4 linked regions of the Styela clava genome follow. The protein of the gene in region 1 binds, or shares a complex with, the protein of each later gene. Links are inferred from orthologs where the notes say so. Each region holds a gene or a part of one and is shown in the gene's direction. Other genes may lie near its edges.

Region 1 (7,709 bases):
GTTTTGAAAGTTTGCCTTTCTTTTTGGGCGGAGTTTGTTCCAATGTATCCTCCACATTACATTCTACATCAGAATCACTTTGCTCTACACACTCGGTTTGCAGGTTTGTGAAGATGACATGAGATTATAAATTGTTTAAAAGATAATGAAGAACTCCTATAACACCCGTAACGATAGTAATTTAATGATTGTTTACCACAAGTGAAGTTCCTGTCAAATGTTTAAGTTCAAACTTGTACTCTTTACAAAAATAAAGTAATCAATTCTAAATCCACTGATATCAGTGGCGTTCTAAAATAGTAGTGTGACACGCTTACATGGCCTTATATTCCAGCACGCCTTGGTTGCCAGTAAATTCCGAGACAACAGTAGTCCAGCCCGGGACACGGGACGCCTGACGTCAATTCCGGGACTGTCCCGGCCATCCCGGGACGGTTGGCAACCCTATTTTACGATGAAGCGCACCTTCTGCTGTTAGGACATGGAAATGAAAGAGTTCAAACGGTGATTACAGAAGATTACGTGGTTGTGCCAGGAAAAATCTGCACATTACTTGAGATATTGAAAGAGGCAACCAGCAGGGGTTCAAGCATGACGAGGCGACCCCCCATATATCAAATCAGACGCTTGTTTTCCTGAGAGAAAAGTCAGCAATGACATCCAGTGGACACCTCAATTATCGGACTGAAACCTCTCAGATTTTGATATGTAGGGTGTTCGAAAGACAATTTGTATCAAGACAATCCTCAAACGATTGCAGAAATAAAATAGAAAAATACCCAAAGAAAAGTGATTGACAATGTTGCAAAATAAATGCAATTCTTTCTTCAATGCCGAGGAAACCATTTGGAACATATTCTAGAAACAACATAATTTTTGTGAAAAACGTCCTAGATTTTCCGACACCTTTGGGTACAAACATACGTAAACAGAAGTTCAAATGTAGACAAAATTAAATAATTCACTCAATTTTCGTAGAAGTAATTGATGGTTCCGTTTTTTGGGGACTACGCTGTATAATACTGTTTTTAATATAAATCAGTTAAATGTGCTGCTTAAGTCACTGTATTTGATAGTTTGAACTTACGAAATACAAATGATAAACCGACATTAAACAGTGTCAGACACAACATGATATAACAAAAGGCTAGATGTTTGCCGTTTGTCGATTTAAGTATTAGGTATGTAGCCTTATTATTCAATGACGCAAGAAATAAAAATTAACCAGTTAAGTCGCAACATGGAGATGGTATTATCTGGCGTACGTCAGTTCAATCGGATGCCCAACTCTCACATGTTGCTCTTAACAAAACCAGAATTAGAACATGGGTGTTGTAGGATACTTACACTACCGCTTGAAAGCACCATAGAACCCGATAGTAAAATGAAGCTATAATTCAATACAGTACAACGAAACGTTAAGTGCATGGTGAAAGAAGCATATGCCGTATGCGCTAGACTGGTATTATTATGAAACAACAATACAGATTTAAAAAAATCATAATACCTATTCTACGTTAAGCGTGAAATTTCCAACACCGGGATCACAAACAAACTAATTTGAACCAAAACATAGGAGTAAATGACATAAAATATCACACTTTTTGTGAGTTCCCGTATTGATGTCAGTGCCCCCCAATCGCCCAGTTTGACAGCCAGCGCCCCCCACTCGCCTAAATCGCCATCAGCGCCTCCCAAGTTATAGCAAACGCCCACAAGAGGACGTTTTTGCCCACTTTGGGGACCGCTGATGTATATTCTCATCAGGTACCGTAATTCCTATCACTTAGACGGCGCACGATGTGCCAACAATTATTTTAACATTTCCCTGCTGACATTCAGGTACCTGATTTTTTATGCATTTATTTATTTTTATCCTGACATTTTGGGTTAGCAGACGACACGGTTTTGATTTTGTAGCCTAGCAACGAAAGTGACACCTAGCGGGCAGTTAATACAAATATAATTGTAAACATTGGAAACAAATTTTAAAATGTTATAGCACAGGCTTGCTTCTCCATAGTTCAATACTGTATTTAGATACTCCGTAGTAAAGAATGATATAAACTTAAAAGAAGGCCGGTATACGCCGATGAAACAATGAGAAAGTTTAGTAGTGCGCAGATCTGCAGATAGACCCACCTTTTTTATTCAAACTTTTCTGGCAAATTTGTTCACATTCAACTGGACATTGACTTGTTTTGTAGTTTTGTCAGTTATAGGCTTATAGCTACCGGTACCGGCAGTTATAAGTATGTTTTCAACAACAAAAATAAGTATAGTTTAAATAAAATCCGTCAGCTCATCCACCATTTTGTCTTCATACTCCTGTACTCAATCAATCAATCATTGTATTTCGGGTCTCTGACTAAAACGGAACAATACAAAAAAGTAAACAGACAACAAATACAGAGATACCTAAAAGAGAGCATAACTTAAAATAAAGTTAAAAAACGTACAAGTACGTGCCCACCCACCAAAAATAAAATAGGAATAATACGAGTAACGTTAAACAAAAAATTTGGACACGATTCAAAATCGGGCAGTGCTTACAACTCAATTTAAAATGATAAAAGCCAAATAATTGCTTGAATCAGTGGATAATTTACATGGAGTAAAATAAGTGTTGCGCTTGAAATAAGACAGCAAAATTCAGGTAGATAAAATTAAGTGTAATAGAATCCCAACGACCTCCTCCGTCTCTGATAGATGTTTCAAATGTTCGTATACGATTATGGTAGCTGAGAAATCACCAGGATTAGCCTTGCAGTACATATATATAAATAAAGCTGATCTCGAATTCTGTAAATTTTGGGTCTGAGATTCCTATATAGCATAGAAATATACAAGTCAAAATCTATGGGAGACATCGCTTGCTGTCAGAAATGAAAAAAATCACCGAAAACCTATCAAATGTGCAAGACAGATAAATAAATACATGGTTGAAAAACAGCATGAAGTTTTGAATAGTGGGAATAAAAGTGGGAATAGAAAGTGACAATAGCTTGAAATAGCTGTGAATACAAATACCAAACAATGCGTGCCAATGTTAGAAGAAAATACCTAGTGACTAGTAACACAAAAAATACACAAAAAAGCTATATACATTGGAACTATTTACCAAAACAATATCCAAACACTGTCAATATTGGCAGGCAACATGGCTGCATGGAGGTGTAGAATCATTTATTAAAACAATAAAAGCAATCTCAATTACACACACAAAGAAATATCATGGGCAGCAGTGAAACATTGATGTTACAGTAGAAAATTCAAATTATGCTGATGTCTTAGGCGGTACATAACCACTTATTGGCAGCAGAAGAGGAAAAAATAGATATTGCCAAAGCTCATAAAAAATACAACATAGATAATTTTGCCATTAAAATAAGATGAACAATTCAAGGCATATTTATCAAAAGTAACACAATACAAACAACCATGTTAAACAGAAAGCACACTTGCAATTGGAAAATTTGTGGGTGTCTTTAAAATTTCCATTCCCTGCCAGCAATGCCCAGCATACTATACTATTCATAGTGAAACTTCTTTAGTCCTTAACTTTGTTATAAAGTGAACAGGACATCCTGAGATATGGTGAAGTGCTGATTAATACCATTCATGAAGTGGCCAAATATAAGTTCAACAGAGTTAAAAAATCAAATTACAGAATTAAACTGGCTTGTGTAGTTATGAGTGGAATATCTGTGGCAAAAAGTCGTACATTTCTTCACAACTCTGTTGTATTCACTTTCCAGCTTTTCCACTTTCAGACTTGTCAGCTGTCTTTTCCAACCCCAGACCCTCCAAATTGCAAAAATAGTTACCAGTATTTAACCAAATTGTGTTGTCCATAACACAGCGATATGTAAAATCGTGTTTGAACAATCAGTTTGATATTTTCAGTACTTGGAGACGGAAGAAGTCGTTAGAAGGATACTCCATTTATTTTTTCTCTAAAATCTACACGGCCTGATTATGATTTAATCAGGATGGGCATAAATAGCTTAATCAGACTACCGGCACTGGTAGTCGGTAATTTTGCCCTTCGGCATGAAAAAGTTTGCCGACCCCAACTCTAAACACTAGAGTTAGACTACTTCGTGTTCATACTGTCACCGCGTACCACTTTAACCTATTCTCTTTCCAACAATTAATTTGCTGGGTGGACTTAGACTCCTGCTGCCATTCAATATTACTCAGGCTTGAGATGTCAATATGTATTAGATATAACTTAAACAGCAAATAATCAAACTGTCATAAAAGTTCAAGTGTTGGTGGTGTCAATTTAGCATTTCATATTTCTGTATTTGATAATAAATTGTCATTGTGTTTATCTATCATATTTCAGTATCGTATTCGACAGACTGGCATATAGCAACAAGATACGCTTCATAAAGCTCCATCTATAGACCATGTGTTACAGACATCCCTTTAAATTTATGAATATGCATCCCCCAGGCCCAGAGTAAAGAAACCTGGAAACACTGTTCTACAGTTCTGAACTATATCCAAGTTATGTCTTAATGTCAGTATGTAGGATAGGATATGAATTACATATTTATCCCCAGAGAGAGAAAAGCCGGTAATATCGCCTATTCGTACTTCGTAGTCAAACTATAGGGTAGTGATACTGAGAGGTCTGTTGAACATCCTATTGAATGTTTATTTTAAATTTGTGATAATATTTTTATGTAGTGTCTCTTATCATCTGTAATTTTTGAAAAGTTGAAACATGGATTCTACTTCGGATACTTTACAAAAAAAGTTGCAAGAAAGACGAAAAGCAATGAATATAACGATGCAAACAACTGATTCAACAGCACTTGATGTTACTACAATCAATAATGATGACAGTGATGGTGATGCTGATATTCCTACTATTGGAGATGAGGAGACAGCATCGACTAGTCGTTTGATTGAGAAACTAGAATCTCGTCATGATGCTACACGTAAAAGACTCCAAACTTCCGAAATGCTTCGTCCTCAATCTGATGTTCGACTTCCTACTTCAAGATTACAAGAATCACCAAGGTCTATCACACCAGCTATGTCACCTGGCCAGTCTCAGGAATTGTCTCGGTAACTTACCTCCGTAAAGTGTACTGAATAGATATGACTTGACAATAATTTCAAATTATCATTGAAGGGCATGACCCCGACTATATTATTGCTTAGGAATATCTAATAATTTAATTCAATGAATATATGGGTAATGCCAATATTAATATTTTTTCCTAATTATTTTTTGCAGTCCCCAATCCGAATTGGAAAGCACATATTATTGCTTAGTTGTATCTAATACCGGTAATTTAATTCCATGAATATGTTGTGTAATGCCAATATTGATAATTTTTCTAATTATTTTTTGCAGTCTCCAATCCGAATTGGAAAGCACATATTATGGCTTAGTTTTATCTAATACCGGTAATTTAATTCAATGAATATGTTGTGTAATGCCAATATTGATAATTTTTCTAATTATTTTTTGCAGTCCCCAATCCGATTTGGAAAGCACATTCAACAGCACATTTGGCACTCGATCTGCTGGAATGTCCTTGCGTGATAGATTGCAAGCCAAGCTTCAGGCGGCTAAACAAAAGCGAGGTATTTCGCATGAGTAACATAAGGTTTATTTACTTTAGCATTAATATTTGGTTATTTGCATCCTTTAAAGCTCTAAAGCTCCTTTGAGTACACCAAAAAGTCAAATTAAAATTGTACATTTATCTAACAGTGAAAAAGGTAATTTAAATTTTCGAATATTACATTATAATTTTTTTGTGACCAATAATAAACACCAGATTACCTTTTTAGGGCATAATAATAATGATAAAAACACTTGGGATGTTACCAATCACACGGGAAAAATGAAACAACAATTTTTTTTTGATAAAACATTGACAAATATAATGATTTATTCACTATTGTATTGTCTTTTTTATCAATGAAAATATATTTCAGAGTTTTCTCAAATGGGCGAAGAGAGAAAAAGAACTCAAAGATTAAAAGAAAGGCTAAGAGACTCGAGCACCAGGTCAGTTGTTGAATTTAGATATGAAATTGCAAAGACTGTTCATTTTCAAAATAAGTTATGGTTATAATTTACGCAACACGTATGGATATCTTGGAAATCTTATTTTCGCATGGATACCGAAGCTCAAATAAACAACTTTCGATTTGTCATATATGAATATGAAAAGATTTTAAATTTTTTTACAGATTTGATGTTGATCCATTGCGTACTCTCAGTCGACCTGATTTAGAAAAGGAGAGAGAATTGGAAACCAGAGTTTTGGCGAAATTGCAATGGAAGAAGGTTCTACAGAAAGCTAGGTATGTTACCAATGTTTTACCTTACTTTTAGTCATGATAATTCTGCTATCTCTTGGATATAAAATGTAAAGTGCTCAGTATCTCATCTTTTCTTCATGCTCAATTGTGAACCGATTATCTATTTTTTTTTTCAAGGTGTTCAGTCAAGGTCTCATCTTTTCTTCATGCTCAATTGTGAACCAATTATTTATTTTTTTTCAAGGAAACAAATCGGTCAACCTAGCGATATTGATTGTTATGATTTTTTCACGAAACAATTTGAAGAAGTAACGGTGCAACCTGAAGTTGAATCTCCTGATGTTGCAACAACAGAAGAACATGCTGAGCAGGTTGCTGAAGAAGAAATAGAACAGGCTCCTGTAGTAGAAGATCAACCTGAAACTGCAGCAGGTTATTTTTTATTTCTTTGTTTCTATATTTATTTTCTACATAAATATTAACTAGAATTACAGTTGTTGCTCAGATGTTATTATCATTAATGCAGCAGTTGTCGGTAATGAAATAAGCTTCATTGAAAATTTATCAAACGACCAGAAAAGCGATGACATATCAGATTTTTAGAAGATCTTCTGGAAAATCTTTAATATTAAAATTTAATCAAGCAATGAAACACTTGAAATTATAACTCATGTACATTGGCTGAAATTAATTTAGTTTGGGTGATATTATAGTGTGTTTGTTGCCTTGTTTATTTAAAAGTTTCATGGCTTGCTATCAGCAGATTCCATTCATTAAATTTCCATTTCTTGACGTGATGACGTCAAAGTTATTCACAAGAAATGGTAAACTCACCAAACATGTGCGCAGCAACCCTAATGGAAGTTTCAATGAAACCCCAACCTCTATACCACTCTTAGATGTTACAAATCTGGAATTAAAATTTATGTCTTGAATTGCAAAGCTGAGACTTAACAGTGAATTCAAATTTCTATTTACACATCAATACTTGACAAATTTCGAAAATTCTGCTAAATTGGGTGGATTCATGCGTTACGTCGCACTAATTGAACTTATGGAAATTGGATCTAGCTGATATAAAATTTGTATTTTGAAATGTCATACAAAAATCTTGTTGTAAAAAAAATTATTAGTTTACACAAAAAAGTATGATTTTTATTTTTTAGGGGTATTTTTAGGATCGAGTTAGGCCCTGGCAAGAAGTCTCAATTGGCTCTTTGAAACGTACAATAGCACGTAAAAATTTTATTCCTGCTTTTTCACTACATATAGACCGCCTCATACTTTTTTATCTCTATATATATATATATACATGTATGAAAAAATTGATCCATATTCTATCATTTGTCAGTGCATTTTCAATCGATTACAATTGCATTGTTAGAACATAATGAAGCATAATGCTAACTATCATG
Region 2 (7,251 bases), on another chromosome or scaffold:
GATATAGTTGAAGAGGAGAGAAATGGACTTAAGCTTACGGGGTTTCCTGTTAGTCACGGTGTGGTTAAGGGAACCGCAAGAGTGGCTTTATCTTTGGAACATGCGAATCAAATTAAGGTGGGCAATGGTATTTCTTTTTACCAACAATTCTTGAAATCAATTTTTGTACACATGTATATCCTGGTTATCCAAAAAAACATGAAAGTGTGGTTCTAGGAAAACCATTTTAATGAGTCAAAGCACACATATCCTAACCAAATTTCCTCCATACGTTTTTTATTTTATATATAATAAACTCAGATGTCTTTGATGTAAACAATTGCATGCTCGCATTTATGCCATAAGGCATAAATTATTATATGTGCTGGTATTGGTAATACTCCTGCTTATGTACGTAGTAATATTTGCGTTTGAATTCGCATTTCTCGTTACCGCCCATGAATATCCCAATTTGTGTTTAGCACCCTACCCAATTATAATAGCCCATTTATACTCTACCAAGAGGTCTTGAGTCTTAGTTAACATGTGATTTTTTCTACCTACAGCAAGGTGATATTCTGATTGTGAGGACAACAGATGTTGGATGGAGTCCGTATTTTCCATTGATATCAGGATTAGTGACAGAAATCGGAGGTTTGATATCACATGGCGCTGTCGTCGCCAGAGAATATGGACTGCCGTGTGTTGTCAGTGCAAAGAAAGCAACAATTCTTTTCAAAACGGGTACCATCTTATATACTCAAATTATACCATAAACAGTGCCATTTTCAAATTTAATATATATATACGAGGTGCGACTAAAATGAAACGGGACTGACGTCACAGATTGCGCAACACGATTAACCATCGGTAATCAACACTTTTGCAGTGTGGCGTAACATGTGTTCTTTGTTTAACGGCTGTTTTGACACAATATCGCAATTATTTTTGCTTTTCAGGATCCATAAGTGAATGTGATAAATTGCTTGTCGAAAAAAATGCTGTGCGAGGTCTGATTGAGTTTTTTGGCGATAGGGGGTTCAATTGCAGAATGACGATTGAGCAAAGAATTAACATTAAATTGTGTGTCAAACTTGGAAAAATGCATGTCAAATCGGCATGCATTCAATCGTTGAGCTTTCGGCTCCTCAGTCAACTCAAGAGCCTTGGCATCATTTTGGCACACACCTTTCGCATTCCCAAAGTGTCAACCAAAATGGTGCGGACCGTTTCTTTGTCCATCGCAACTTCTTTGGCAATGACGCGAATTGTTAAGCGACGGTCACTGCGAACCAACTGCCGAACCTTTTTGATGTTGGTATCAGTTGTGGAAGTGCAGGGCCTCCCTGACTTTGGATCATTCTCAACATCTTCCCTGCCTTCCACAAATCGCTTGTGCCACTTAAAAACTCTGGATATGGAAAAATCTCCATAAACATCACGCAACATCTTCAAAGTCTCATCCGCCGTTTTTTCCGAGTTTGACACAAAATTTAATGTTAATTCTTCGCTCAATCGTCATTCTGCAATTGAACCCCCTATCGCCAAAAAACTCAATCAGATCTCGCAAAGCAATTTTTTTCAACAAGCAATTAATCACATTCACCTATGGCTCCTAAAAAGCAAAAATAATTGCGATATTGTGTCAAAACAGCTGTTGAACAAAGAACACATATTACGCCACACTGTAAAAGTGCTGATTACCGGTGGTAAATCATGTTGCGCAATCTGTGACGTCAGTCCCGTTTCCTTTTAGCCGCACCTCGTATATATATGAAAAATGCTTTTCTATTTAGCAAAATTTCTTAAAATCAACCTGTTTACTAGTTATATGATTTTACAGGGTCAATTTTTCTAGAAAACAATTAAAATGGTATATATGGGTAATTTTTGAGTAGAATAATAATAATATTACCTAATCGAGTATACAATAAAAAGTGATATTCGACTATTTCAAATTGTAATGCCGTAGAAAATGTATATTAATGTGGCAATTCATATATTTTTAGAAAAATTAATTTTTGCATTGAACCACATCCGGGGTATATATACTAGTGCAGGAAAAAACACTTAATAACGAAAAATAAAAGCATTTACTGTATTATATTACCCAATTAAGTGCTTTTGATGAAAATACTGTTTTTGTTTTTAGGAGATTATATCATGATCGACGGCGGGAAAGGAATCATTCAGAAATTGTCTTCGGAATAATATTTTATTTTTAACAACGTCTATATGGGAAATTCAACCTCAATCCGTGATTTTTAATGACCTTGTATTTTGATTACCGTTTTGATGCAATTTTGCCTTATACTCCACTGTCTCCTATTTGATAATTGTACTTTTATCAGCAATCGTGTGATATCACTAATTTTCTGTTATATATAGAATAAATAAATATAAGTTTCATTTCTGACACCAACGTCTCTGTATAGTATATTTATACGGCGTCCTACCTAATATTAGCATATGGGATATCAGTATTTCGTTTGTTAAAATCACACCTCAGTCGATGTGACAGGTCCCAAAAAGCTGAAGAATCGGCTGTTACACACACACTTATATATATATATCTAAAGGAGCAGATCGGAAATTGAGGGGTGTCTTGCGAATGCAGACCAGAAAAATGAGTCAGATTACCTTCATTGTATTTCAATCATTTATTGGGATCCCAAACAAACTGGAATTTTTGCTAATTTGATTTCTCAATTGCTTCGTGTCTCAAATCGGCCGGTTCAGCCCGGGAAAATATCGCAATAACTGAAATCTACCTTATTTTAGCATGGCATTGCAGAATTAAATTTGATCTATTCTGTATTATATATTGTGTTCGACTATGGATTATTAAGAATTCATATTATATAAGAGAATTATCAGACAGGCATTGTGACAAAACTAGGAGATTCTGGAACATATTTTTTGACATCACAAAGCGATAGAGCCGAGGAGTAATAGAATGAAGCTTTTCGTCCGTTCGTACATACTAGTTACAGTATTTGTCATATTTAAATCGGACTAGCATAGCTAGTTTTTGAAATACTAAGGAGATGCCTAAACCAAAAAGGGTGATGGCTGATGAGTATCGTAGATTTCAACTTGTGCTGCATGTGAGCAGCCGTTCAAAGCCCGCAGAGACAACATGCAGCATCACAATTCACAAGTCACATTGAATGTATATTGGCATTGTAGCCTATGTGTTGACTTTTGAGTAAAAATTTCAGGCCTGATTAAGTGAAAAATGCTATATGACTCGCACGGAAATGCAGTGAAAATATGTACCTTTTATGGCTCTCTTGACTGAAAAAGTTCCCGACCCCTGCTCTACAAGCAGGAGTCGCAGTTCTTACTACTTCATGGCAGCTCCTGCCACGAACGAACCGCGGCGTTTCTTGCCATGGTTTTATGGCGCTATTCAGTAATCAGTATTATCGGTATATTCACGAAGTCATGTACCAGATTATAGTTTATCATGCAGAATTATATCTACCTAAACCTGAAATCCAACCCCAAATTCATCAAAACTGTATTCATAAAAAAAATGTTCCAACTTACCCGATATATGTCACCATCAGGGGTAGCCCTGCCATTACAGCCGACATGACTTGATTACGGAAGCAATATTTTACCCGCCATTGGTTTTCAATTTGCTGCCGTGGTACCGGCATCTCGCCATTGGTTTGTGGCAGCTAAAAAGTCAGAAGCCGTGGTTTGGCCATACCGGCCATTGTTTGGAAATCCCACCATGGTTATTCGGCAGCTTCAGACGCCACAAAATACTTGAAACTGCACTTGACAAGAAGCCTTGAACGTCTAGGACGGTGGCAATTTGTGCTCCTGATATTCTTGAAATTGGCACTGAAACGCTAGCGATCATGAATCTATCGAATTTTTTGTGGGAGTGCACCTTCTTCATAATCCGGAAAAGTGCTCTGCTGATATACCTGGTACTTTAATCAACACTCGGTTTTTGCGTTTTTGCATTACAACTAACGTTCCGCACAACTGAATAGATACGTGTGATATACAAATCACTTTCAATTAATAGGAAAGGAAATGAATTTTTAAAAATGCATATCAAGAGATAACTTGAAAATAAAACAGATTTAAATTGAGTGCGTTTAGAGCAGCGACTCCGCTCAGACTGAAGACACGTTTTGGCTAGGGAATCAAGTACCGTCAAAAGATCCTCTTATTTATACTAATAGAACATGACATTTTATAGACATAGAAACATCTGGTAACATAGAAATAGCTTTGCTCTTAAAAACGAGTTTTATATAATTTCCACTTTTTCACGTGGACTGGCAGTTTATCTATTTTTGCAGGAATAATTTTCCACGGTTGATAACATGTTTTACGCCGTATAAAAATTGGGAAAATTGAAACCTTTCTTTACTTTTTTACGACCAAAAGATCACCTCGCCAAATCTATTTGACCCGGGCCACTCGACCGCTTGATATATTATGTAGAGATGTGTCAATCAAAACACTTATCGTGCCTGGGATTCGACAAAACTGTTTAAAGCAAGGTGGACAGTACCAGTATTTCTGTAACCAGCTTTCAGGACATACCGTAGTTATTCGTGTTATTCGATTTTGAATTATTTGGTGCAACTGATATTTAACCTCACAACACATGGACAAATCTTATGAAGTAGATACTGGTGGTGCAACATATCGTTCGGGAGACCCCATTAAAAATTTTCGTCTCAGGTCAGTATTTCATCCTTTATTTTCTTGTAATTCCTCTTGCTATTCTATTACCAATGTATCATTAATAGTGTTTATTTATTGAACTCATTTATTCATCATTACGACGTCACAGTGACGTAATAGAGCCCTTCAAACTATACGAACTGCCATCCAAGACGAGCACCCGAAATCGGAGGCGCAGTTCTTACCACTTCATGGCAGCTCCTGCCACGAACGAACCGCGGCAGCTCTTGCCATGGTTTTATAGCGCTATTCAGTAATCAGTATTAACGGTATATTCACAAAATAATGTACCAGATTTTAATTGATCATGTGGAATTATATCTACTTAAACCCTAACCCTAACCCCAAATCAATCAAAACTGTATCCATCAGAAAAACGTTCCAACTTACCCTATATTTGTCACCATAATAGACAGCCTTGTCTTTACGGCCCACCTGCCGCGGTTACGGCAGCAAAATTTTACCTGTCATTGGTTTTCAATTTGCTGCCGCGGTAACGGCAGCTCGACATTGGTTTGTGGCAGCTAAAAAGTCAGTTGCCATGAGTTTGGCCGTAGCGGCCATGGTATGGAAATACCGACATGGTTTTGCGGCAGCTGCAGATGCCACAGAATACTTAAAACTGCACTTGCGAAATCGAACAGTTATTTCTCTCGTTTTCTCGTCGCAACGATTTCAATAGGAGAGAGACCGATAACGTCAGTCAGTTCTTTATCGTCGGCGCCAATGCCATTTCGGTCGATCATGCGTATATTTGGCAAGCTCTATGACGTGATTTTGATGTCGTAGTGATTTAATTTTTGGATGGCGTAGTCAGATGGGGGTTAGGATTGACATATCAAAAAATTGTTATGCTACACCCACTAGAAGTACGTTAGGTACGAAACTACACGAGACCCGGTATTTCAGTCTTCTATAATTATGCAATAGTAATTTCAATATAGATCTAGTTCTTACTTGATTGAGCCAATCTGATAATTTTATATTATATTCCACCCAACTCCAGAGGGTAAAAACAGAATTATTTATCCTAAATATATTTTCAATATTGTTTTGATAATTATTATAACTGAAATTACCTTAAAGAGACAGAGTATCAAATTTGGCGTTATCACAATCCCAACATTTTAACCATTAAAAAATCCTACACTAGTTAGACAAAAGCGAGACATGGTTAAGCTTAGTTTCGATAAGATTTACTGATTGGTTTACACTTCATCTTATAATAGATCACATACTTCATCTGATTAATAGTTCATTTTGTAAGTACCAACTAGCCTCTTACTCTATTTCCTAAGCAAGCGATTTCCAAAATTTTTGTTCTTGCTATGCCAAATTGTCAGGGAAAAAACTCATTTCATGACTTACACGAAAACGAAATTGCTGCCTTTGAATAAAACATAATTTTGTGATCGTTATTGTGTATTTTATGCTTTTCGGAGTTTGTAAACGTGAAAAGAATAAAGGCAATATCAACAAAACAACATAACATTTGTACTTATTTATCTAATGAGAGATGTGCGGCTTCTTCTCTGAACATATCTCTTCAAATATTCAATCATATATTTGTTTAACATAATTTTGTTAATTTTTCTGGCGCACTTAGCAAATGCCACCTTTGGGAGCCGCTGTTCTATGCTATGCCATAATTTAATTTATAGCATTTACAAAAAACCTTGAGGTAAGCAAGCAATCAATTAACTCTGTAAATAGGATTTTCACTATAATTAAACTGTGCTTCATATCAGTGAAATTTATATTCAAGTGCACATATATGATGCTTATTAGGCTATACTGAATGAGGAAAAGTTTATTGGTAATTAGTTCACAGTTTTTAGTGAGTCGAGTTGATCATTTTTGGAGAATGTCCGACAATAGTTTTAGATCTTATTATTTATGTCATTTACTACCTACTCATTTACAAGCTGTCTAAGAAAAATATGCATTCCTAAATATTGGATTGAATCCGAAGTCCTAAATGTGTCTCTTATGACCAAGATCTTGTTTGTTTTTTGTCTTCTATGTATATTGATTTACTTTATTCCGATTATTTTCTAAATATTTTTATGTATTATCACAATGCTCCTGAGCTTAACACAGAGTATAGTCTCGTTTTTTCACTTACCTATTCCATGTCACAAGGTGGCATTGCTTATGTAGTACTTTAAGTCTCATGTTTTCAATCTCATTTGAGGTTTTCATAACTTTTAAGTATTTCAATCCAGTGTTTTCGTCTTGTGTATTGTAATTATTTTGTACCATGGTGGATTTCAAAAAAAATTATTATCTTATCGAAAAATAATTTAAATTTGACCTTCGAATATTCATCCATTGATATTATACCCTGTAAGATTATCATCATTATTTTCATCTTTTATTGCTATTACAATTGGAAACCTATCAGAAATTTAGTCAACAATTTTTTCTATTTATAATATATTTTGTAACTGATGGAAAATACCTACCCGCTTTAGGGAAATCAATATAACTAAATTAAGAAGTTTAACTTGTTTTGCAGTATCAATCTCCAACGTGTCAGTCCAGCAATTCTAGGAT
Region 3 (7,926 bases), on another chromosome or scaffold:
ACACTCATTATTTGAAGTTAAAATATGTGTGTTCAATTTATGTTTTCATACCGACCTTACAATTTCAGGGTGGTATCGTTCACCAGATATCTTTTTTGCCGAAAGTTTTAGTTCCTCAATCAAAAATTTTCGTTGATATGGCTGTATGGTGTAAGTTGATTCTGATTTTTGAGATAAATCATTACCTATTAGTCAATTCATATCCTTGCTTACTGCTACACGGCATAAATCCTCACACTACAACTTTTTTATGATTCCTTTCTTCCTGAAAATATACATATTAGGTTACTACATAATATCTTGATTTCTTATCAAAATTTACATTCCTCGACAAATCATTTCTGTATTGGCTACCTAGGACATTCACAACTTACTCTTTTTATGCTTAACAATCGTAGCACAAAGTGATTCTCTACTACATCTACTCATTGGAGCCTTGAAGCGAATTTGAAATCTTCAGATCTTACTGTCATTTGTCAACATGCTTTTAAGTGCTAGGACCGGTTCTAGGGCCTTCCCTCTCAAATGATTGCTCTTCTATTTTGTTTTGTAATCTGCATTCTATAATAAAATCTTTATTAAAGTTGATGCACAATTAATTTGAATATTTATAAAGCCACTCACTTAATCTTGTCGTGAGATAACGCCGTCAGAACACAGAAAAACGCACGATGATTTTGGAAGCAATAATCTGTCTGCGCCTAGTCGGGCGTGACGGCGAATCCAACATCGGGACAAATATCGGAAGTTACACGGGGTTGGTCAAACCAGAGACAATGCATCTTTGGTCAAACCGTTCAATTTAGATTTTCACCAGTCGTTGATTTGCACTGAGCAATGACATTAAACAACATGATGCGCAACTCCGGCATTTTTGTCCGAAGATCGTATTCGATAGCACGCTCCAATGCACATACTTGACGAGACGAAAACGAGCGGATGTGTGCTGCTTTCAAGGCGTAGCACGAATGGTGTTCGTGCCTGTTTTGACAGTTGTTGTCGATTTTAATGATATTTTTGAAAGTTGGGGTAAAAAGAGATCGGTAAAAGGTAAGGTGAATACTATTGTTGTATATCACACCCGGGCATCGCACTGTTAAGTACATGTGGGAAAGCCAGCCTTTGTCAAATACTACGAAGTTATTAATTCAGTACGCTACGTAGTTGCCCATTTGCCGAAATTACATATTTACTTACCCCTTATGGTTTCAAATAGTTCATGCACCTCCAGTTAGATTTTTTAATCAGTGAGGATATATACTCATTGTTGATTGCTGCTCATTGTAACATACTATTACGCATTCACTTTTATTTGCGTATTGAATCAAAGTGTTAACAAGTTCACCTAACATTTCACTCATACCGGTCTATGTTGTATAGTCTGATTTCTCAAGTATTTGGAGCCACGAATGCTTGTAATTTTCTGACTAAACCCTTTTATTAGTTGGTTTATATACCAAATTCAGTAAAATATTTTTTAAATAAAACATAAGATATTGGATTTATTAGCTTTTCCATTCTGAATCATATAGACTGCTTTATTTATTCCTAACGAAAATTAATAAATCTCCTCTCTTTCTTCAGATGTGAAAGTTGTGGACAAACCTGTCTAAGCATTGTGAGACTCTTGCAGCACAAGAGGCAATAGCAGAAATAGTAAGTATATCAATCAAGAAATTAAGCCGACATAAAGCAAAACTTTCAACTATTCGTCTAATTTCAAATTCCTATTATTTATTCACAGGACAACTATAGCAGACGGGGAGATATCAGAAGTCTGGCGACATATCAGTGACAGTGTGATTCCAAGAAATATAATGGATTTGAAAATAGAAAATTGCAATAGAAAAACAACCTATGGAGGCATGCAAAGACATTTGACCCTCCGGTAGAGTTGTGTATGGCCCCCACATCCTGCAGGGCTTGAGGAAAATAACTAAAAATTCCAAAGCGTAAGATTGCATAAGCGGTCTTATTTGTAAAAAGGCACAAAACACGCCAGACATACTTAAAACAGCTTTGGAAATGAGGATTACGGGTACCTCACTGCACCTGTGTTATATTTGGTTCATCAACTTTTGGTAGTACTATAGAAGAAATTCCGGAAGGGGTATAATCATCATTCATGATAAAATACTATCATATATTTTTTGAACAACTTCAATCTAGACCAGGGATCTCAAACTCGCGGCCCCAGAGAACTTCCAGTGCGGCCCTCGAACGTTTAACAATAATTGTAATAGTATTTTGGAAGTTTTTTTATTTTTATCTAAATGTAATAGATTTTTCAAACCTTCTAAAGTGAAATTGATTATTCACACAGAAAACAATTTACTGAAAGTAGTTTTGGAATATTGATTTTTTTTTGTCCACATTTTGACCCAATCAAGAATACACATCAAGCTAGCAAAAGAATACTTGAATAAAACACTTGAGTAATTAAATTAAACGCAAAGTACATGAAAAAGGTGGCATTTTCGAAGAAAATGGGAGTTGTAACATTTCTGCTCTTCACAAAATTCTGAAGCACATTGTTTAATTTGTCATATTTCCATCAATACAATCAAAAAACACAATAAGCTAAGCAGTCAATATGACAAATTCGAAGACCAACTTCGAACAGAAAATTTCCATGTGTTTGTATATTAATATAATTATACAACGACTTAGTTACTAAAAATCAATATCAATAACAATTCAAGCAATCCTATGCCACGCAATGTAGTGCGAAATGTCTTGTCGAAAAAATCTGTCATTTGTTTTTTTACTGATCTATACATGAAATGATAAAAGTAACTTTTTTGCATTACTGGAATTAATTAAACATTCGTAAAGATCCAGATAAATCCATGATCATGTGGCCTCGTTAGTTAGAGTTGGTACTATAAAATCATTTCAGACTGGCCTTAGTATGCTGGTGACACAAAAAAGATGCCAAACGCCAGGACAAATGTAATTATTAAAACATTGAGTTTATACTGTAGTATTTTTGTTAATTTTAGGTTCATATATTTAGATTAAGTTATTTTTAGTGTATGTATTATTCTTTCCTTATTCAAAGCTTGTTCAAAAATGATTTTGATGGTTGTACATAGAATTTTACGATTTTTTATAATAAATACTGTAACTTGCAAATGTTGCAATAATAGTGGAATGCAAATATTAATATGTAATTGCATTTGAAATTGAAGAAAATAATAAAACTTAATCCAACTGTTTAGTTGCATCACAAAATATGTCACAAACTAACACTATCTTAAAAATATCTTTTAAGTATACATTATCAAAAACTGTTTGCGGCTCTTTTTACAATTTTCAAAATGCAATGCGGCTCTCGAAAACCCATGAGTTTGACACCACTGATAGACGATTCAAGCATTGCTTTGGGAAATTATATCACTTCAATTAAATTGAAATAATCTCGCTATATTAAATACAAAATCGTTGCTATCATAAAGGTAAACCAATTCAGCCACTCGAAATATACTGGCCTTCACAAAGCAATGGAGGCAAAATTGAGAGTTCATGAGCTATGAACATTTGTTCTTTTCTTTGTCTTGAACTTTCCATACTCCACAGCCCCTATTAATTTTTTTTAATTTTAATTATCATGTGATGGTCATACATATCTTTAATTTGTATTTTCTGTCATGATGTATTATCTCAATGTGCCAAACTATTAATTAGTGTGCATATTTTGCTTCCAGATGACATAAATGTATTGTCATGTTTATTACCTCAGCTTGGAGTATTGACAAGAAAAAGGTGCCAGTAAATTAGGTAAAAAAATTTTCAACTCATTGTTATAATCAGAATTCACAATCAATAGGAATTATAAACAGCCAACAATCAGTGAGAATTATATGCGAAATCCCTCAGAATAAATTTGTCTAAAATCGGAGGAAGGCAAAAAATATAGGTAGTTTCCATCCACACAAGCATTTCAAGAAGACTTGCTCGAGCCAAACTAAATGAGCATCGTCAGGTGATCGGTAAGGCTGCAAGTTGAATTCAGCCCTGCAACCTCCTGCATAGAAGATAATATTAATTAGTGGGCTATGAGCTAAATTCCTAAATTTAAACAAACCTATCTACGATGCATTATGTACCAGCAATGTTACCTACGATTAACTGAATATGTAATATGTCTAATAAATTCACCTACAAATGCAAGTTCGATAGGTGCAAACTTTGTGTTATGGAATTGTATCGCAGCACAGTTTTGTATGAAATTTCAATGATTAAGCGCAAACATTAAAATTACTAACTTTGAACTTTGTCATTATCTGCAAAATGTTCCACACTAATCTTTCCGCTATCGCGTTTGTAATCTTCTCTGATAAAAAAAAACGTCTATGATGTCCAGAATTGCTATTTACAGCTTGCCTGTTATTCCAGCTTTCCAAGTAAGCAAAACTTCTTAGATATAGAGATTATTTTGTTTCGTTACAGGCGCAAAAAGGCAGGTACTATACGTAAAAAAGACGCCGAGTAGCAAGAGCGAGCGGAAAACGGACGCGAAAGGCGACGAGAAATATGTGCATTGGAGCGTATCATGAAATACAATGTTTTGCCTGTAGTCTTATGGAGTGACGTCAGAGTTGCCCATCATGTTGTTTAATGTCATTGCACTGAGTAATGAGATATATATTCTCATTGCACTGTGACGGTCATTCAACAGCGGTTTCGGGCATTAAATTGAGTCTGTAAACTGGGTTTCATCATTGAGTTCTTAGTTGTGAAACGTCGTTTTAGTAGGTAGCAGAAAGGCAAAAAGAGTCGAGCAAAAATGTTGTTCGTTGGGTCAAGGATAGGATAGGTCAAAGGTTAAAAAAACATCAAATAGAATCCCAGGTCAGGTCTCAGCTTTATTTATGCATGAGTTGGTGCTCGGCGACGGGACGCTTCGTGTTGTCAGATTTTTCAAATTCTTTTAACCAATTGATTTAATGTATTAACAGTTTTCTTTTGGAAAATTTAATTTGACATGTAAATTTTGTATGCAAAGATGGATGGTATAAGTTATAACTATAAGTGTAACTTAGAACACAAAGACAGATAGTTCATTTCGAAAACTCCATGTTACACATAGCAGCATAGCTTGGAAATGGAGACCTCTGGAGAGCGAACAGAACTTTAAAACATGAGAAATATTATGTGCCTGCTCACCAGCACACACGCAAAAAGATTACAAAAACACAAACTTACAAGGATTAGGCCAGAAATAAATAAACAATCTATTTCAATGTATATCTATATACAATCAATGAAGTTATACCTCATTCCCTAATTAAAGCCAGTTATTACTAAATTATAGTTGAGGAACCGCCGCAGTTTATAGATTATTTTTAAAACTCCAGAATACATACACACAAATTAAATTGGAGAATTCTGGGAAGCTACGAAAAATTCTAACGTTATATTCTGATATATTATTCTATATTAAGTTTAAAACATAAGAAATATCATGTGCCTGTTAATTAACATATAAGTTTACAATGAATCAAGAAAAGGTACTCGCTGCATTTGGGAATAATTGGAAGCCTATTTTATATCAGTGTATAGAAATATTGAAATTTTCAACTTCCCAAAAATAAATTGTCAGCTTGACTTTGTGTCCAATAGAAGAATACAGTACGGTATATTGTCAAATTAGTTAACTTGATTTTTTGTTATTCAAATAATTATCTCTTCATTCGATTCAACCACAAGAAATTAAATACCCGTAACTAATCATTCTTTACTTTTTAAATGAAGGAAAAGTGCGTACTCCTCACATAAATATTTTCTGGAGGATTTAAAACCCCTTATTTTCCAGTCATCTGAATGTAGAAGATTTTGACCAATTTACAAGTAGAATTTTTTAAAACTTGGATTTTTAATAATGTCACTCAGTGAACCCCGTTCGCTTCCTCCTCGAGCATTGCCTCCACTAACCGCTGGTGCTTCACATGTTGGTGATGGATCACAAGTGCCGACTCCTCGAAAGAAAACCAGACCACCTACCAGCGGAGCAGACAATTCACCCGGTACAGGTTCGAAACGACCTGTAACGAAAACGAGACGCCGAAGAAGTCCAAGACAACAGGATGGAATCGAAACAGGATCTTTACAACCATCTTCAGCAGCGGCCAGTGTAGCTGATGAAACTCAAATGAGTGAAGGAAGGTTAGTGTGAATCATGTACAGACTAATAGATAAGATTAGGAATTTTCTTTCTTAACAAAATGTTTTATACCTTTAGATCACATTAATTAAAGGCAAAATTAATGCTGTCCACAATGGTCATTTGTATACAAGATGTTTAAGACCTCTGACAGAATAATGGTTTTCAGATGAACAGAAATCTTTCACTAGGGTCTGTTTATTTTGAGCGCTGTAACATGTCAAACTGTTGTATTTGAATAATACAGTCTTGTCTAGTGAGCTACGAGTATGTGTACTCCACGTACAGACGTATTAGAGTTCTGGGTCTAATCTGCAAGCTGAAGTACACTTTCTGTTTGGCACTGTCTACTCTATACAACTTATTACATTCTCAGTGAGGTTTGAGCCAAGGATCTATAACCTGTGATGCCTACGTAGTCATGTTCTCACCACCAGTATTCTCATCCAATAGTAAATTTAGTTCTATGAAGTGAAAGGACACCTCGTTTAAAAATTATGATTTCTCTTATGTTTAGTGGACCTTCTTCCACAGCAAAGCCCAGGACAAAAAGAAGAAGAAAACCAGCTGGTGCTAATCAGAGTCCTGGTGGAACAGGAGAAGTATCCACTGGAAATACAGTTTCAGCATTGCTACAAGATGAAGATGTAGTAAATGTTGAGAAAATTGAAGATGCTATAGTAATGACAAACCTTCCTGGTGTTGCCGGTGAGTATATATCTTTCATAACTGTCATAGATATTCATCTAGTTCAATCAAATGTAAACAGATTTTAAGAAAACCTCATTTTTTCTGCGCAAACAAGATTAGTTTATTACACAAGCATTTACTCTATTATTGTGGTATTTGAACTTACAAAATCTTGTATAAAAACCTGTTAAAGCCAGTGGAAACCGTCCTTGGTAATTTTTCCAGTGTTAAAAATGCTGATTTTTTGAATAGCTGGATCAGGTGGAAGTGCGGCAACTGACAAAGTCTATGTACAAACTACCAATGGATTTGCAACACACAATCAAGATTGGTTGAATGACCGTTTTATGAAAAGTATGGGAAGCGAAGCACAAATGACATATGGAGAGGCAACAATGAAACCGTCCAATGTGAGGATTGATAGGATAGGATTTACATATATACCTCGGGGCGGTTACGTGAACCGCCCTATGGCGGCGAGTAGTCCAGCAGTCTTCTCGCACATAACTGTCACTGCATGGGATTCGAACCCACGTAGGATAATCAGAGGTGCGGTGGCGAGCGTATTCTGAACGCTTAGCACGATGCGCCACACTGCCGAGCCTATCCTGCCACCGCTGATCTTGTGGAGTAGAAGTTTTTAGTCTGAACCACTTAAAGTTTAGATTTTTTTCAGTGGCTTGCCTAGAAACCCAATGGGGGGGTGTTTAATAGTTAAGAAATTATGACATCATAATATGACCCACTTGGTTTGCTTTTCTAATTCTATTCAGTATATTTTCCAATCAGAAATAATCATTGTATCTGGACTACTTTGGTCACAAATTAGCTAATTAGAAAGAAGCCTTAAAAGCACTGATAAACATCATAAATTCATTTCCAGATTGCCGAGCAAAATGAGAAAGCATTTATGTTCATTACATTATTACTGCATGGTGCACTAGCTGGATTCTCAATATGGCAGGTTGTCATCAGCTATTCCTTGAATGGTTTAGGGGAGCAGAATCTTCTAACTCAGTATCAAGGGTAAGTATTGTGTATTAAAATAGGATAGGATTTACATATTTATC
Region 4 (7,383 bases), on another chromosome or scaffold:
CTTCTTCTACCTTCTGAGAAAGTTGAAAGAAGAAATATAGTAGTAGACTTAGTTGTGTAGTGTAGACTCATTTATTTACTAAATCTGCCTGACCTGCGCTGCTATTCTCTTGATATCCAACTTTGTTTCTTCTATTTTTTGCTGAATTGACTTTATCGTACTCATTCGCACTCTTCGTTCAAGATATTTTTTCGCACTATGAATGAAAAATCCACGTCGTTAATGAATAATAAGCACAAATTTTGAACCAACCACATTTTTCAATGATTTTCAACTTACAGTGAAACCCCCCATTCATGTAAAGTCTTGAACTTTTGAGCATTTTCGCATTTTTGTTGTTCTATTTTGAAAAAAAATGGTAGCGATTATATTTACTGTAACATATATTCGCGAGATATAATAACATGTTAAAGTCGTCGTGTTATCAGCAATACAGTAGCTTGTCACAATCATAAAAACGTTCTATATTGCTGGCCACGCCACAAGCTTTGTCGACTCTGGTATTTGGAAATTCGAGGATGATGTAAAAAAACAGTATATGGATGGTCATTTGGGGAGTGTTTTATAAAATATATAGTTCGGAGATCGTGTATTTTCTGATCCCGCAATGGCGCAAACAAGATAGATTTTCATATGAAATTGACATATTATATGAAAAATTTGTGATTACCGAAATCTTTTCTAGATAACGTTTATTCAGTAACCTATAACAAATGCTGAATTACCGGGAAACAAAGATCGGGTTAATAAGTTATTTCAAAACATCCCATCGTAAAATATTATTCAAATAATTACTTATTCAAATTTGAATGAATGAAATAATATTATAATTCTCTTTCCTGCTCTCAGCTGCTCCAATGAAACAATTTCACCGTCAATAATATCAATTTCTTTCAAAACATCAGCCTTTTTTATTTCCATTCTCCGCGTTTCGTCTTGCAATTGCATTAGCTCCGATGCACCCGGAAACGACTTGTAAATTCTTTTATAATTTTCAAGCTTTTCCTCCTGTCCATTTATCTTTTGTTCAAGTTCCAATCTTAAAAATATCCAATACATAATTACGTAAATTAGTATTATTCAATTTTATTGTCTTAACTAAAGGTTTGATCTTAACAAGTGTTCTGCTCTCCATTCCGGGCTCAAAGTATACCTCTGAAGTAACCAAAACCACGGATATTGTGAAAGAAATTTCAATTAATATTGTGAAAGAAATTTCACAATTGGTATTCATTTATTTAAAAATCGTTTGTATTGAAGTCAGAGATGAAACTCAGATCGGGTCATTTCCTACAAACTCTCTTGCAAATATGATTTCATTAGACCGATGCGTATGCGGACCGATGACCGGATGAGCGCAACTTTCAGTGAGGAGCGAATAAAGTGATGTACATAAATATGGCAACGCGACTTTTATCATAAATAGAAATTTGATAACGCAACATCCACAATTTCGAAAAATATTGTAACTGCTAAATGTGTTAAAGTAAATTGTATTCAACATGATGTTATCTATACGGCTATGACTTATTTATGCTTCATTGTCAATAAAATCGAAAATTCCTTCAGGGATGTCCGCGCCTTATAGGCTGTTAGTCCGCTTCTTAACGTTGTATTACAACTTATGGATGCAATTTATTAGGAGACGTTTTTTAGAAAATTTCACAAATGCATCTCAGAAACCTTTGCCTATCACCTTTTAATACGACTACTACAATTTATATATTTAAGGCATAAACGAATTAGGAAGGGTGGAAAATTGAACTGCGTGATGATAATAAAATGTGATCAAAAAACAAATATATATTAACAGAAACTTCCCTATAATTTTCTAAATATATGTGTGTACAGTATATCATTAGCGAAGATATTGGTTTCTGATCCACCAACCAAACAATTCTATTCCTTCAACTTTATATCGGGTCACATATTCTTAAAGTAACAAAGCGAACCTTCTTTTGGCCTTTTCCTCTACTATTTTCTGCAGCTCTTCAGCTTTTGCATTTGTATGTTCATCCAAGAGTCTATCATTTTCCTTTATCCTTCAAAATATAAAAAGAAACACTTTTTGTATATTTTCTGGTTTATAAAGTTTCTCAAATATTGGTCTCATCCATCCACTCCATCCAGGTTAATAGTAATTAATCGTTTTTTGATCATTTGAGAAAATATATCATTGGTTCTGTACTCAGTAACAAAGTCTTTTTGACAAATTCTCTATTCTGCAGGTGGGTATGATTTAGTTAAGTCTTATGACTCATGTTAACATTCTCTTATCAACGGGAGCAAATAGTTCCGTAATTTAGGGAAGTAAAACGCAATGAATTTCTTCAATACTGTAAACAACTGTTATGGTCATTTTGTACGCGTAATACCAATATTTATAACAGTACGCAACCTTTCGAGAGTTCGTTTCTGATTCACATAAACTTCGTGCATTTGTTTCACAGCCTCATCAAGCTCTCTTGTTTTATCTTGAAATATATGAATCCTCTCTCTTTTACTCCACAATTCTTCCCGAAAACCTAAACAAGTGGGAAAAATTCAATCAATGTCTCGTCAACGGAGAAACCGATTTGGCTCATACGTTGGTAAGTAGGAAAAGTTCAAGCCAAAAGTATCAATTTTGACAATGTTAGCAGCTTGTTAATTTGAGCTCCGATCTGCAAACTATTGAACTAAATGTGCATTTCATACCAAAACCCGACAAGACATTGCGTCTATTCTAACGTGCCTTGTTGGCCCTTCCCAGGATAAAATTGACGGCCACATCCGACGTAATCGACTTAGATATAAATTATAGAAAGGAAGAAAACTTTCGAAGCCCGCAAATTTTGAGTCAAAGGAATTAGATTAGACTATTTCGAAGATACCGGTAGTGTTAGACTTACTTTTTATTATTTCTTCTTCCTTTTTTATTTTTCGTCGCTTTTCCTGTACATCTGCATTGAGCTCATTTAAAAACTTTTGCAACGCGGAAGGAGCACCGCTACCTGAAAACATAGCCATGGCTTTTATAAAAGTGAATTAGCAAGTAGGCAACTCCTACGACGACGTCAATGAATGGTGTCTATAATCATTATGACATCCTATACGTAACAATGACCATTTAGCAATAAATCAACTTCGTCGTAACAATGCCAATTTGTGCAGTCGCTCATAGACACTTCTTTCGCTCAGACTGATATTCAAGCAGGGTTGGTTGAGAATTTTTCAAGCGTCAGGGAAACGTCCATGAACCTTTCCCCCAGCATCGACTTCCTCGTTTACTTCGTGACATTGGCCAATCAGCGAATTGCAAAAAGTGACGTAACAATGCTCCCTTTTCGCATCCGCTCAGACACTTTTCTCACTCATACAGATTTTCAATCGTGGTCGTAAACATTACCTAGTTTTCGCATTTTTGAACTCTATTGGTTAGTTTTCAGTTGTGTTTTGGAAACTTAAATGTAAATCAGATAATTCAATGGTCACCCTGTCTTCCTAGGAGTTTTAATTTAATTGCAGTTATAAAAATTAGTGTAGAAATAGCTGTGATAGACTAGGCTAAAATTATTCAACGGTACTTTTAAAAAACAGATTGTTGTATGCGATGAATCATAATGATGGTTTGAAACACATACCCCATTTCACAGGCGCCAACTCGCAAAAGCACTCTTAAAATAGCCTCAAAAAATTTCCTCTCTCCCGGGATAAAAATTTGCAAATCCTAATCTACCTTCCTTGTGACTAATGTATATTAACCATTTTTTCACATTCCACCTTTGAAAACAGCACTGCGTCATAGGGTGTCACAGCTCTACACATAGGGTGTCATGGCGGTGTGGCTCATCGTACCAAGCGTTAGGATTCATAAACCTCAATATTAGGAATACGCTCGCCACCGCACATGGATGGTTATGTGCGAGAGGATTGCTGGACTCCTCGCCGTCGTAGGGTGGTTCACGTAACCGCTGGTCGGTTACGGCTTCCTCCACCACCAAGTCCGTGCTTCCGAAAAAAAAATAACTAACTAATCCCATACCCGACATGGAATAATACGGTAACTGGACGTGGCCGTGGTTCGCCATATGGTCAAGCCGTCTTATCGACTTTCCTCTCTCAGGATAAATATTTAAATCCTATCATAAATCACCCCTGTAGTTTTCTGTCAATCCCTTCACTCGTGAGTAATGATTGTTCATATGTATGTTTGATTTGCACATGGTGATGAATGAATACTAGATGCAGTAGTATTCATTCATCACCATGTGCAAATCAAACATACATATGAACAATCATTACTCACGAGTGAAGGGATTGACAGAAAACTACAGGGGTGATTTAGGAACCGGATTTGAATCCGAACGCCAACAATCCCTTACAAATCAATGAAGCATAGTGTCGTATATAAATACTTTTGAACAATTTTCGTTTCCAAGTACGCCATCGTTCTGTCCGTCGACTCAGGAGGAAGTTTTTAGGCATTCATAAATCAAGGTAAAATCAGTATACCAGAATTCTTTGAAGTATTGGAAGAAATATTTGAAAATTATCAAATAACAAAAGACATGAAATTGGGATATACTACTTTAATTTATAAAAAGGGAGAACCAGACCAAATAGAAAATTACAGACCAATAGCATTATTGAATACAGACTATAAGATCTTTACAAAAATATTGGCAAATAGGTTAAAAAGTGTATTACCTGACATCATAGATAGACATCAGTATGCAATTCCGGGAAGAAGAATATCTGAAAATCTCATTTTGTTGAGGGATTTATGTACTCAAGAACATAATAAACATGGAGAATCGAATCGATAGAGGAATTCGTCAAGGAGATCCGTTAAGTTTATTTTTATTTATCATAGCAATTGAACCTCTCCTAATTAAAATTAATTCCCATAAAGAAATTATTGGCTTAAAAATACCACACAACAGAGAAATTAAACACATTAGTTATGCAGACGATGTCACATTGACTCTATGTAACAAAAGCTCTGTATATTCTGCAATGGATTTGATGACAAGATTCAAATTAGCAACTGGAATGAAGTTGAACATAGAGAAGACTAAACTTTTAAAATTAGGAATATGGAGCAATCCTAATTTTTTTTCACAAGTACCTGTTGTCTTGACTTTAAACATACTTGGAGTGGTGGTTTCAAATCATGATACCTGCGATGAAAACTGGCAATACTGTTTAGATAATGCAAAAACTGTCATAGATGAACTTTCAAATATTCCATTATCATTAGATGGTAAATGTCTGATAATAAAATTGAAAATTCTACCTTTGTTTTTATACTGTGCAAGATTATATCCCATCCCATTAAAAATTGCAAAACAAGTGAATGTTTATATTTAACAAGAAAAGTTTATATTTAATGGCAGAAACATATTGAAAATTGAGACACTGTGCAAAAACAAGGCTGTTGGAGGCTATGACATGATAAATATTCCTTTACTATGTGTTTATATGTAATGACTGCATTCGACTATTATTGTGATAGGATTAGTAACAAAATTGAGTATTGTAGACAATCAGCATTCAATATTATTGAATATAATATTGGACAACAACTTTGTTTATTACTTAATATACCGATTAATAATAATGTGACACATGCTTTTTTTCCTTATAAATATTATGGAGAGTTGCTTAATTTTCTTAGACAATATAACATAACCGGGGATGATTTAAAACAAGGAAAACATAGGGTACTATATAATAAAATTGTGAATAAATTGAAGGGCGGAAACAGAATTGTATTTCTTCGTAATGGTACAATTGAAGGAGCCTGCTCTGAAATACATTGTAAGATATTGTCCAATAACATAAAAACTTTCAATTTTAAATTAATGTGGGATATTCTTTCTGTTAAAGTAAAGCCCAGAATTAAACATATTTCTGGGAATGATTTATGTGTGTTTTGCACACAAGAACCTGAGTTTGTTTCTCATTTATTTTGGAAATGTCCTTTTACGCAAAATGTTTTTGATTATATTTTTTCTGTTGCATTAAAAATCAATCATTGTGTACTGAATAATAATTACATGACTTGTATTTTACTAGATTTAACTCACCTATGTTATTCACATTTGTCCAAAATAGAACGGAATGCTATAATATTATTATTTTGCACTGCCAGACACAAAATTTGGCTTGAAAGGAATACAGTAATTTTTCAAAAAGTTAATCCAAATGTTAGCAATGTAATCATGAGAATTAAGAAGTCACTTATAGCAAGAAGAAATATAGAAAAGTTGAGACAATATCCTAATTTTACAAGAGAACTAGATATCATTTATAATAACTTGTGAATTTTTAACGATGTGATATATAGTATCAAAACTAATAGATATTAAAATTTTTTTTTAATAATTAATACTAAAAAATATAAATAATGATCAAACATTATGGATTATGGAAATTACATGATGGACATATCAATGGCAATGGGATACTATGGACAATACAATCAATGGACTGTAATGAAATGCTTTGTTATTTTTGTATACTTGTTGTTGTTGTTGTTGTTCATATATTATTTTATGATTTTTATATATTGCATAAACCACATTGTGGAATCATAAAAAAAAAAAAAAAAAAAAAAAAAAAAAAAGTATACCTTTGTGAGTTTTGTTCATAATACCAGGCATTCATAAATCAAGGTAAAATCAGTATACCTTTGTGAGTTTTGTTCATAATACCGGGCAGGCCAACAGCGCAAGCTTGTGATTTGCAGGGCTACGTTAGGAATTCACAACTCATACTATTTTCAAATTTTGGCCAGTATGCATGGTATGGCCATTCAGCGATTGGCGACCATGGATCAGATTCCTGAATTCCGTGTCTGTCCTGCTTGGGAATGATCATTAGTAACTGGATAGACTCAACTGATTCAGGGTATTAAATATTACTGTATTATTTCTTATCTTCAATTGCAAATACAGAAATTAAAACTGCAAAAAATATTTTTACAGCCCTCTAAACTGTTAAAGCTTTTTTGAACACTACAGAACTAAGTCTGCAAGTCAACGTTGGTAGGCTGAATTTCTTGCTTTTGGACATAATTTGAAAGATATTTGGGAAGAAAATTTGTAGGCTTTTATAATAACAGAATGACCACTGATCAGACCAGACAAATTTTTGAACAACTTTTAAAAGATACAGGAAGGTAACTACATTTTCATTCTATAGAGTTAATGGCTGCCTTCTTTGTCAGCATCATTATTTCTCAGCTACTAATCCATTCATTTGTTATATCTTTAGGCAGTTAGGGTACATCTATGCCTCTGGCAAACTTGTGATGTTATAGTCTAGTTATTTTTCGACGGCATTGACTAATAAATTATATTTCATTCATTTATTCTGTTTATTATATTGAACATACTG

Evidence for each region.
Region 2: coiled-coil and C2 domain-containing protein 2A-like (region 1) and tectonic-like complex member MKS1 share a complex: the UniProt entries of both Homo sapiens proteins name them as parts of the tectonic-like complex. The link is inferred for Styela clava from reciprocal best matches to the Homo sapiens genes CC2D2A and MKS1.
Region 3: coiled-coil and C2 domain-containing protein 2A-like (region 1) and transmembrane protein 237-like share a complex: the UniProt entries of both Homo sapiens proteins name them as parts of the tectonic-like complex. The link is inferred for Styela clava from reciprocal best matches to the Homo sapiens genes CC2D2A and TMEM237.
Region 4: coiled-coil and C2 domain-containing protein 2A-like (region 1) and uncharacterized protein LOC120345914 share a complex: the UniProt entries of both Homo sapiens proteins name them as parts of the tectonic-like complex. The link is inferred for Styela clava from reciprocal best matches to the Homo sapiens genes CC2D2A and AHI1.

What each region holds. Positions count from the first base shown.
Region 1 is NC_135259.1:2,067,103-2,074,811, forward strand, and holds the start of coiled-coil and C2 domain-containing protein 2A-like, read left to right. Parts: upstream 1-4,694; 5' UTR 4,695-4,735; coding exon 4,736-5,082; intron 5,083-5,494; coding exon 5,495-5,607; intron 5,608-5,964; coding exon 5,965-6,037; intron 6,038-6,222; coding exon 6,223-6,336; intron 6,337-6,538; coding exon 6,539-6,726; intron 6,727-7,709. UniProt on the Homo sapiens protein: Component of the tectonic-like complex, a complex localized at the transition zone of primary cilia and acting as a barrier that prevents diffusion of transmembrane proteins between the cilia and plasma membranes.
Region 2 is NC_135257.1:11,288,066-11,295,316, forward strand, and holds the start of tectonic-like complex member MKS1, read left to right. Parts: upstream 1-4,231; 5' UTR 4,232-4,615; coding exon 4,616-4,692; intron 4,693-7,213; coding exon 7,214-7,251. Other genes in the region: rifampicin phosphotransferase-like, read left to right, coding at 1-117, 546-723, 2,132-2,190. UniProt on the Homo sapiens protein: Component of the tectonic-like complex, a complex localized at the transition zone of primary cilia and acting as a barrier that prevents diffusion of transmembrane proteins between the cilia and plasma membranes.
Region 3 is NC_135253.1:6,409,887-6,417,812, reverse strand, and holds the start of transmembrane protein 237-like, read left to right. Parts: upstream 1-4,906; 5' UTR 4,907-5,884; coding exon 5,885-6,168; intron 6,169-6,683; coding exon 6,684-6,874; intron 6,875-7,108; coding exon 7,109-7,266; intron 7,267-7,739; coding exon 7,740-7,882; intron 7,883-7,926. UniProt on the Homo sapiens protein: Component of the transition zone in primary cilia. Required for ciliogenesis.
Region 4 is NC_135257.1:13,083,302-13,090,684, reverse strand, and holds the start of uncharacterized protein LOC120345914, read left to right. Parts: upstream 1-4,365; 5' UTR 4,366-4,479; intron 4,480-6,672; exon of another isoform or gene 6,673-6,733; 5' UTR 6,734-6,894; intron 6,895-6,971; 5' UTR 6,972-7,109; coding exon 7,110-7,165; intron 7,166-7,383. Other genes in the region: uncharacterized protein LOC120345286, read right to left, coding at 1-13, 94-196, 280-342, 842-1,039, 1,953-2,042, 2,399-2,525, 2,892-3,009. UniProt on the Homo sapiens protein: Involved in vesicle trafficking and required for ciliogenesis, formation of primary non-motile cilium, and recruitment of RAB8A to the basal body of primary cilium.